2 linked regions of the Drosophila melanogaster genome follow. The protein of the gene in region 1 purifies or fractionates together with the protein of each later gene. This does not show direct contact. Each region holds a gene or a part of one and is shown on either strand. Other genes may lie near its edges. The genes, in order: tau and CG8188.

Region 1 (4,899 bases):
CAATGAGCGAAACGCAGACACAAATTGACCAAGGGAAGCCAACCAAAAGGAAGGCATGCCGATAGATACAACGTAAACCCACCACCCACCGACCGGCTGCATCCCCCCAAAAAAAAAGCTAAACAAATGCCGGAAGGAAAGGAAAACGAAAGCGATTAGGGGGTGGCAAAACCACCCCCCTTGGAAAAGTGTCAACAAAAAGCAGTCGACCTTGCTTAGCGTGCGCTTCCGATTAAATGCACTTGATTTACATAACATTTGAGTAATTTTCTACTAATTAAAATGGTTACCAAATCGATTATTCCATTTTAGTAAGTTCAAATAAAGTGGTAAACTCTAATGCATAAGCTGTGTTGGGAGAGTATAAAATCTGCCCTTAGCCTTGCATACTTATTGTTAATATTTATATTAGTTAATTTCGAATTCACATGGCTGTTACGTGCAAGCAGTGCTGGTTTGGATATTAGCTCTTCGCTGGGTTGTTGCATTAGATTAGCTTGGACGGCAACCTAACGGCAAATTGGATATAATATCAGGCGAATTCGTTTGTTTTAGTAGAAAAATATAAAACCCGCTAAAATAAATATATATAATAAAAAGTAAAATTTTAATAGAATTTTAAAAATAGATAAATTAAAAAATAAACGCTTTATATTAAACAAAATTTTCTCTTTTACTTCCAGGTTTGTATTCAGATTTATGGAACTTAATGAGAACTTAAAATGGCTTCAATTATGGTTATGTTAAATACAAAGAATCGTCAGGAAATCAAACTAATTCAGTCCTAGAGTAAGAACCATAACCTTGGCAATCGAAATTAGGCTACAGAACTATGCAGACATTAGCCCAGGACTACGCTCCTTCCACGTCTGAGTCTGAATCCTTGGCTAACCTCACGTCAGTTTGGATCTCCCCAGGTTTACTTTTATGTCTACGCATTAGAGCGCCGGAGTTTTGCGTGCTGCCTGCTTGTAAATAAATAGACAACAATTAGGGGAACCTATGACAACAACACCTGGATAATGGAAAGGTGCGTGGCAAGCGGTGCAAGTTGGCTCTATGTGGATACAAAAATATATATGCCACCCTCCCGATTGTCGAGGGCAAAGGATTGGGTCTGGGAATGGGAATGCACAAATGCGCGTCGAAATGCCTCCCCCGGTGGCCATTAAATTAATCAAGTCAAATGAAATCTGCATATAAAATCAGCGTTATAGGCTCCCCATTCGCTCATTGTTGGCGTGTTGAATTTGCATTTTTCCCCGGCGCCCCACTAATAAATTTGTATGTCAATAGAATATAGCCAGAATACAAGGGGCTGCTCCACCAAAAATATATCCTGGCAGCGCTTTGAACTGCGCAAGGACACATTCTGTTTATGCGCCCCGAGAAGTTTACGAGCGACCACGCTCCGCCAGACCAAGTTGGCGTATCAAAACAAATTCTAAGTATTGTAATTCGAAATTTTTCAAAGCAAATAAAAGCAGTCGAGTTTTAACACTCGCGCCAAACACAACGCAGTGCAGGGAGCTGGCGTCGTAGCTCCACCAGAATATTTCAATTAAATAGAAAACAAAAATATATAAAAAAAAAATATAAGAAAATATAAAACATATTATATTATTACGCGATTTTGTCACAGTAGAAGTGTGTGGTTACTTACGCCTAGGTAAATTGCACCTTCATTCCCGTGTTCAAGCCAAAGTGCAAAGTGCATTAGCCTTCTCAGGCTGTACGTGGCCAAGTTATTGCCCCCTGGCCAGGAAAATCGATACAATTGCATTGCATGGCGCTTGTTTTGTTTTATGGCCAACTGCAACTGCAACTACAATTGATAGTCTTTGGACTGTGTGATAAAAATCGCTACTGCAGTGGCGCCAGAATTCAATTGCCAAAGGACCAAGTTTTGTTAACCATATTTCACCGAGGGTGAATCTAATTGAAATGCAAGCCACGGGCTTAGGAAACTTTTGTGCTTGCACCTGTGCAACTGTTGACTTACCAACCCCATTCCACTTGGCTGATAATCAATTTGGCCAAGACCATTTGGCCACAAATGACAGTTGAGTTGAACGTTGTTGTGCGGTTGACATGAACATTGTGTGGAATTTCGGTTTATGTCAGCCGCGAATAAATCACAAATCATTGTAGCCCTAATTTGCAGTTGCTGTTTCTGCCAGGCCTTCTTTATTTTGTACTATTATATATATATATATTTTTTTTTTTGCTACTGCCAGGAAGTTGGCGATTCCGACTCTGAGTCGGCACAAGTTGCAGTTGCCTCTTTAGTTGGCAGTCGGATGTGGCACGTGCTGAGGTCATAGCTCCTCCAGTTTAAAGAATCCCTCGTCGTCCTGTGCAATTTTATCGATTCGCCCGTCAAATGTAACACACACCAAAAAAAAAAAAAAAGCACTGGAACTTAATGCAAAAGTTTTCGGTTTTTTCTCCGCATTAAGTTAATTGCCAGGCAGTGCCGAGAACCAGTCTATATAGACATAGTCCCCGATCCGAATTCGAACAGTAGTAACCCACTCAGATATGAGTGATACCGATGCGGTGAGTTTTGCTTGAATTCATATATATTTTGGAGCTGCACTTAGCGCACACCGATTCGCCCATGCACAAATGATTTACGAGCATAATTTGCATAGGGAATGATCCAGGTTAATGGATGTATTATTCCGCCGACCTTGCACATACATCATTGTCAGTGGAAGGAACCCTTTTGCGAAACAAATCAAACAGCGATTTCTTGTGGCCCGTCGATTTGGGCCTTAGAACTGCCAAAACTTTTGTTGAATCAATAAGCCACAAAAACAATTTGGGTCACGTTACAGCTGGCAACCGGATTTCATGACAAAATTCCCTAATGGTAACCAAAGACCGAACGCCCGAACGCCAAATACCCAAATATCCTTATAGCCATATAGCCAAGTAGCCAAGTAGTGAATACCAAAACAATAAAATGTAAACAAATGCAGAAAGAGCCATCAAATTTGAAAGCACCCACTCAATGTGAACTATATTGATACGTACGTCTGTTCCGATACACGAGCTTTAGCTCCACCATTGGCACTTTGGCAACCCCACAGTTGGCAGAAGTAAAAGTAAGCCCACAACGATATATGGCCATACATATGCAAATGATATGGGCCAGTTTGCCGGGGCAGCGGAGCATGTGGGTGTATATCGATGGCATTGGCCACCAAAAAGTGGCTCCGCCACATATTGGGTTACCAGACACTTGCACATTTCTGCACCGACACCGCAGGCGAGAAGTTCTAGTCCTTCGCTAGGATGTACGGCACGGGAAAGGATCGCTCCGGCCAGGAGATTATTTCTCCACAGGATTACCCAGTGCAGCAGCAGCGCGCTCAGTCCAAGTCAGAGTATGTCATGAATTCCGCATCTGTAGATCGTCCTCAGCAGCAGTCGAGACCACAACCCACGCAGGATTATGTGCCTTTTGAGTCCTCCGATTCATCTGTGGAACGAAAGAAAGAACAGCCAAGTGCTCAGTTAAGCACAGATTATACCAATAGCAACACCACTTCGGATAGTGCCTCCTACGGCTCAGATTCAGTTTCCAAACAGCAGATACGATCTCAGCAGAATCCAGAGTATCAGAACAATGCCTATGAGGCACCTAGAGATGACCGCAGTCAACTGCAGCCACAGAGATCCCAGCCAGCTACCGATTACTCTGCATATGAACGTCAGCAACGTCCGCCACCAACCACACTAGACTACACCACCGGCTATAATGCACCACCTAAAGATCGCACCACCCTGTCACGCACCAACTCGCGGCCCACCCTCTCCTCACCCAATCCCAAGCTCCAAAGTATACCCAATACCGAGTATGTGCGACCACCACAGAACTTTGTCTTGCCACCGCAGATGCGTCCCGCCGTGGGGCCACCACAGCCGCGTCCTCCGTTCGCCGGAGCCCGACCTATGGTCGGAATGGGACCACGACCACCCATGCCGCCGAACATGGCGGCCAGGCCACCACCGCTGCGCAGCACAGACAGCAAGAGCAACCTGCTAATGGGTCCACCGATGCGACCGGGCATGCCACCGCAACTCAATATGCAGCAGGCTCGTCTGCCCAATGCCGGCGGACAGCTTAGCCCGCCGGGCCAGGGACCACCAAGGCCACCAGGCGGATTTCCTTGGAATCCAGCCGGGGCACCGGGAATGCCACCCGGAGCACGTCCGCCCCAGAATATGACGCGACCGCCGCCACCTACTTTTGCACGCCCGCCGCCGGGACAGCCGCTGCAGGCACCCTTCAATCGACCGCCTTTCAACCAGCCGCCCATGCAACCGCAACAGCAACAACCACCACAACAGCTGCAGCAGCAGCAGCAGCAGCAACAGCAGCAGCAACACATGCAACAGCAGCAGCAACTACGCCCACTTTCGGCAGCCAGTGCACACAACAACAACGATGACGACGACGACGTGGTCATGGGTCCCGCGGTGACCCCGCTCAAGACCTTCAATTCGAGGCCCGATCCAATGGGCGAGCCCCTACTGGAGGACATCGAGCCGCCCTTCCAGACGAGCCCCCCAGCCGGAGAATCCAAAAAGGGGCCCGGCTTCAGTAAGACTCAGATCGATAAGCGATAAACCAAAGACCATTAGTGAAGCCATTTAAGAGTTTATTTTTAAAATTTAACTATCTCAATATGATTCATGATATATCCATCCATGCCTCCCTCATGTATCTTTTGGTTTATTTCAGAGGGCGACAATGACAGCGGCGTGGATGAGTCCACTCAGGAGAAGGTGAGTTGTTATCGGTTTTGAACCAGTTAACTAGTTAGCCATAAATTGTTACCTCTGCTGCGTCTCCGTTAATTGAGAGGAAATTAACTGGAACTGGCAACA
Region 2 (6,598 bases), on another chromosome or scaffold:
AAAATGCCCGGCTGCTTCTCTAGCCCACTGGCCGTCACCCTGACAGAGGTGCCATCCCGTATGTAGAATCCCAGGGGCTTATCGCTGCCGTGCTTCAGTAGCCGCACTCTTCTATGCGTTTCCGGCACTATATCCACATCTATAATGGCCGAGACTTGACGGAAATCGTGCGGTATGGATATCGATGGCGCCTTTGTCTTCACTGGCGTATGGCCCATCAGTATGCTGCCGATGAGGTTTCTCGGTTTCATCGTTCCAAAGCCAGAGTACTCATTAAGATCATCTATAGAGTGAACGAAAAGATTGTGGTTGAGTGGCTCGTATTGTATCTTATGCATACCCATACTCACCCTTTCGCTGCACAATGACCCGTAAAAGTGGACGTGCTGTTTTCAGGGCCCGGCCGAAGTTATCGTCGTTGTTAATCGGCAACAGATCATTGTCCCGCGGATCGATGTAGAGTATGAGAAACTGGATGTTGGTCAGCTTGTGCAGCTGCTCAATGAGGGATGCGAATTTGTCGAAGCTCTGCTCCGCCTCATTTCGCTTGAAGCTCCACCTCCGAAACTCTGCATCGAACTAAAGGATACGTATTGATTAGTAAAGGGGCTGAATCTTTTGAAACCCGTATAGTTTGTTCATCAGCATCACCTGTTGATTCAATTGTATGCAGACATTTTACTAATTTAATGGGACCTTCACTGAATTGCAGTACATCTACTGCCTTATAGCTATTACTGGAGTTTATCTTGAAGAATTGTACCTTGACTAATTAATAACTGAAGTTTCCTTCTCTGTAAAATTACAGAAAATGAACGAAACAGGGTAGTTTTTGAGTAAGGCGCAACAGATTGGTTTTCAGGCAAAGAGCCCAAGCAATAAAGGGTGTTGCAACAATCCATATCAGAGCTCAGGAATTCCGACAAGTAAGATGCATTCGCAAGGGCAAATTGTCACTTTTGGGGTGCTTCTAAGATGGAAACCAGTTGCTCCTCACACCTCGCACTCCAAGCATTAATCCCTGCTCTGGCCGCTTTGACACAATCGAGCTCAACAGATAGGAGTTCCCAAATTGGTAGACACATTGCTCCTCAGACTAAAGACCCCCTTTCCACGCACAGAACTCCAATTTAAGCTATTAATCCCATTCCTGAGCGCATGAATCAGCAGCTCAGCGCCGCAGAAAGGGGCGTGGAATCCGGGGGCCACGAAAGTTAGGACTCACCTTCGATTTCACCTCGATTAGATTCGTGTCACTGGCCGCCGTTGCGGACGTTGTGTTTATCTTGTTCTTCGACATTTTCTCCGATCCGCCCGATCAAGAGTGCACTGACAGTTTTCCTCTCCGTTCCTCACACACAACACAAAACACGGCAGTTGAGTTCCGCAGATTCTGATCTGATCTTCAGGATCGAAATCGAACCGATACGCCCGATGCGAACCGAAACCGAACCAAAGTGCAGCGTACCGATGGCGGGGAGCGACGATAGTGGGGGGCCGCCAATAAATTAGAGTTAGAAATCTAAATTAAAACTAATTAAATAAAAAAAATGGATGGATGAACCTATCGGGCACTATCGTACTTCGATATTGGTAGGCACTATCGGTTATCGGATGGTAATAGATCCAGAGTGACCGTGGGGAATGCAAAACCAAAATATACCATTTCAGTTTTCTAAAATACCACAAATATGCTATAAGCAATAGATTTAAACAACAATGAAAGTATCTAAAAAGACTTAGAAATAATAATAATTTGTTTTCAATATAGCTAGCAAAGGTTTTGAATTTATCACAACAATAAGTTTTTTTTTTTAATAACGGTATGTTCTTTGTTTGTTTTTAAATATTTCCCAGAGTAACTTAGGCATGAACCGATGTTGTGCATATATCGATATATCGATAGAGTCTGAGCAGCCATGTTGCTGCGTTAGTGTAGAGACAGTTTGTTTGTGTGGGCTGGGTGGATCTTCAGATGCGCTACATTTGCAAAGTGGCTGCTGTTTGCACGAAAAAAGAGGCTTAACTGTTACAAGACAAGAATTAGCTATATTTAAATGCTCAGTTTTAATCAAAGACGTTTTTTAAATAAATAAATAAAAACCCGCTTTTAAATCGAAGGCAGGCAAGACGCCAGCACGAATATGCCCCAATTGTAGCGCAGCGCCAGCGACGAGGGTTACTGTAAAATGAAACTGTTTTTGTGTGTTGTTGTCGAGCGTGAAGTGTCCAATTAGACAACTGAATTTGTTTAGATGTGAACGCCAGAGTCGAGATAGGTCACACAGCAGCTACGACAAAGTTGAGCGAATCGATTTCAAAACAAAAGCAACCAACGAAACAAAATTTTAAGTCGCTAGAAAAACTAAAAATCAAGATTTTCGAGAGGAGGTGCTATACCAAATACATATATATATATAGTCTTTAAACGAGTGCGTGTGAAAACATAAACCCAAACAACAGACAAGGAGACTAGCGGGGCCAAAGGAAGCATAAGGAGTCTACACGCAAAGGAATAGTTAAAGCCAGCCCACAACGCACATATTCATATATTTTGGGACCACTTTTCCAAGGCAGCTGGGAAAAGGCGGTGAAATTGCGACTATCCGAGAGCCGAAGAGCTCAGCTGCAGGAATAAGCTGACGAAACTGAAACCTTGAGACAGCGATTCGCACGCACACCAGCGCAGGCCCGCATCAACACAGACACACACACGCACAGCAGCAGGAAATTCAGACATCATGAGTTCGGTAGGATGAGCATGTTCCTCACATAATTGTTAGCATTCTAATAATAATAATACGAAACGATTCTTAAGAAGTTGTATCCGTGATTGTAAAGAATCCTATCCAACAGATGCTTCTTAATCTTATGAATGGTTTAGTAGTGAGAGCTTAAAATCGCGTCCTTACAAATACTTTCCAGCATACTAAGAGTATGAATTTCATTAATAAATACCCTGTTTGTGGAGACATGTGATTTTGTTAGTTAAGTTTGTATGTAATAATCCTTGCCTACAAGTACTGTACTGTACTTGCCATCCATTTTTAAAGTTCGTATGTTCCAATAAGTACAATTCCAACTAGAAATAATGACTCAACCCTGTCATTAAAATCAATTTTTGTATATATAAACTTTTGCCATTCCATACTAATGCCATTCCCCCATTTGCAGCAATACTCGAATGTGGAGAACCTGTCGCCGCAGACGATAAGGCAGGTGATGAGGGAGCTGCAGGAGATGGAAACCACGCCACCGGAAGGCATCAAGGTGCTAATCAATGAGAGCGATGTGACGGATATTCAGGCATTGATCGATGGACCTGCTGGCACTCCGTACGCCGCTGGAATTTTCCGCGTCAAACTGACGCTGAACAAGGACTTCCCGCTGACGCCACCCAAGGCGTACTTCCTCACCAAGATCTTTCATCCGAATGTGGCCGCCAACGGGGAGATCTGTGTGAACACACTAAAGAAGGACTGGAAGCCGGATCTGGGCATCAAGCACATTCTGCTCACCATCAAATGCCTGCTTATTGTCCCGAATCCGGAATCGGCGCTGAACGAGGAGGCCGGCAAGATGCTGTTGGAACGATACGATGACTACTCACAGAGGGCGCGCATGATGACAGAGATCCATGCCCAGGTAAATTAGGGGTTTTCCCTTCTGTTATGATTGTGTATCATTGGAATACTAGCATAAGGTGTTGAATGATCCCAATATGATATTGTTTATCACGCTGCTTTACACACTTAGCTCATACATATGTATATCTTTTATTTTAGCCTGCCAAATGCGGTGTAGGCGCTGTTGGCGATGCCAAAGACGATGGTGGACCCTCGACGAAGAAGCATGCGGGCCTGGACAAGAAGCTGCAGGACAAGAAGAAGGAGAAGTTGCTCAAGGAGAAGAAACGCATGCTGAAGAGATTATGAGAGGCATAAGGCGGAGTTCCATGGACTAGCTAATCAACCAGGAGCAGTAAGTAGTAAGCAGTAGCAGAACACGTCGGATACGTATGAATGGATAGATGTTAAAGAATGGATGAGTGCGAGCGTAAACCCTACAAACAGGTGAAAGGCGACAGGATCAAAGCTAGCAAGGTCGAATCAAAGGAGGAGGCGCGCTATGAAATTTTACACTGATCTGATAAAAAACAAAACAGACAAAAAAACAAGTAAATTGAGCTACTGAAATTACGAAGTAACCGATGAAACCCGAACCCTGGAGGCCAATATCGGAACGGAACGGAAGTTAAAGCTGCAACAATTTCGGTAAAACGAGAGAGATAAAGAACCACTCCAAAGAACAGTGCATCCAGTTACCATATACGATTATTTTAACCAACATTTTTGGTGGCACGCCGCTTTCAACTGAGCCTAGAATATAGAAAACAAAAACCAACATAAAGCAACCAAGAGAAATGGGGATTGCAACCATCACCCAATTAATTTATGTAGTTCTCTTTTCTTAACGCTCATGGGCTATCCTAGCATAATTTATGTAATTAGATTAAACAAAACAAGGATAACATTATCGCCTCATACATGCCACCTCTTAAACACCCAGAACTCTCTAGAAAGCATCACCTTACACATACCTTAATGAGCACTATAATCGCTCATTTGGGGTGAGTCCGCGTATTGGACCCCCGTTCATAAACATAAACTTACCCCTTAGATTTCTTTTTTTTTTTTGTGTGTTTTTAAAATTGTATTCGCTTAGTTCATAAATAAATAAAATTTCGATTCGTTACATTCAATTGTCCTGCTTAGGCATAAGATACACAAAGGACACACACACCACCCATGCATCCAACCCACACAAATCACGAAAAATACATAAAATTATTAAAGAAATACTGTAAAAGATTGATTGCACATTCTGTAGAGATTTAGTTTTAAGTGCTTCCAAATTGTCAAACCCTCGACGCGAATCGGATCGGAATGGAATGGCCTGGAGCGGATTGGAAAGCAATGGCACGGTGATAAGTGCATGGGATATCCGTATCCTCGTCCTTTCGCTTGCTATGTCGCCGGTATTCTACACGCCCGCTGCTCTCTCGCTCTCTCTCCCTCCTTTCGTTCGAACATCCTTTTGAAGCTCACACAACAAACACACACAAAACGAGGGCAAAGAGTAAAAAGCAATAAAAAAGAATAAAATTCCAGAAAATTACAAAAAATTCAGATACTTGTGCGTAGAGGGAGTTTGAAAAGGTGTTTTTGAAATTGGTTTTAGGTAAGTAATATACATATGTATGTATGTATGTAGTTTTAAAGTAAAAAACTACACTTTACATGCATTTCATTAGAATTCGAATATTCAATACAGATCATTCAATTTTTACCGTGCACAGTAGTTTAGTTTTCCAGATCACGTCGCGCGTGCCAATAACAATAACATTTCCTAGTTCCGCTTCGTTCCATACAATTCCACTCAACCTCCCCCCATCCCTTACAGTTTATTTATTTATTTTGCCCACTGTCCACCGGAAGAGTTTATTTGTGTTTTGGGGAGTTTCTCGATTCCCGCGATTCTGCGAAATATCATGAGACACTCGCAAAACTAACACCGATAAACTAACATTCTCATTTGAGAGTAGGTGTGTGCGGCTCTGCCCCTCTCGCTCCCACCGCCTCTAGCTGGCTTTGTCTAACCGCCAACGCTTTCGAGACGGGCCAACATTCCAATCCGATCGGATCGGATCGGGTCTAACCTTCAGTCAACTTGTCGCTCGAACCAAATATTGTCGCACAGCAGAGAGTCAGAATCTCGCAGGGACGGCGAATCAGAAATACCCTTTAATGAGTAGTTGGCTGCTCGCACGTGCAAGGATCCATAAATTAAAAAAATATACTTCAGGGTTTGAATATACATTTTTAGGATATTTTTGTGTTTAAGAAACGGACAAACATTAAACATTCATATACATTTTTTAACTTTAAACATTTAATGGTTTTCTTTAAACCTTAAACAAATTACAAGTAAATTCCAATAAACAAGTTACCAATCTTAAAAACGATTAGATTCTTTGGTTCAATAAACAAAACTGATCGCAAAGCGGCTTGTCCTGCTCCGAAGTTAGGGTATTGCTTCTCTCCGGACTACGATTCAGATTCGGACTGAGTTCGATTTCGATTGTTCGGACTGACTTGCGCTTGGCGCTCTCTCGTGCTCTCCGAAGTCGGACTTGAATGAATGGCCAGCAGATGGACCGACCGCAAAATGGAAAATGCCGATCGCTGCGGCAGTGACGGCAAATGGAAGGGGGCGGGGGAGGGAGTGGCGGGGCCAAGAGGGAGCGGCGATCGCCAATTTCAGCTAAAGCTATAGCCAAAGCCAAAAGCCAAAGCAGCAGCAGCAGCAACAACAACTGAACAGCGAATAACAAACGGCAAAAGCAAAGCCAAGCAGGTAGATCAGTTGTGAATCTGGCAACAAACCATTTGGCTGGGGCTGCTGCTCCAAAATAACAAAAACAACGCGATCCGATCCGATCCGATTCGATTCGATTCGATCCTCTCTTCGGCTCCAAATGTCCGCGTGTGAGTTTGTGTGTGTGTGTGAGTGCCCATCGGATGCACTGTGTTTATTG

What was found.
Region 2: the proteins of tau (region 1) and CG8188 purify together in Drosophila melanogaster (affinity purification with western blotting, with the first as the bait; one study listed by BioGRID). This does not show direct contact.

The regions. Positions count from the first base shown.
Region 1 is NT_033777.3:27,647,463-27,652,361, reverse strand, and holds the start of tau (tau), read left to right. Parts: upstream 1-1,607; 5' UTR 1,608-1,669; intron 1,670-2,459; 5' UTR 2,460-2,559; intron 2,560-2,654; 5' UTR 2,655-3,300; coding exon 3,301-4,612; intron 4,613-4,753; coding exon 4,754-4,797; intron 4,798-4,899.
Region 2 is NC_004354.4:17,698,353-17,704,950, reverse strand, and holds CG8188 (uncharacterized protein), read left to right. Parts: upstream 1-2,173; 5' UTR 2,174-2,741; coding exon 2,742-2,750; intron 2,751-3,174; coding exon 3,175-3,645; intron 3,646-3,785; coding exon 3,786-3,935; 3' UTR 3,936-6,034; downstream 6,035-6,598. Other genes in the region: par-6, read right to left, coding at 1-283, 351-579, 1,226-1,300. UniProt on the Drosophila melanogaster protein: Catalyzes the covalent attachment of ubiquitin to other proteins. Acts as an essential factor of the anaphase promoting complex/cyclosome (APC/C), a cell cycle-regulated ubiquitin ligase that controls progression through mitosis.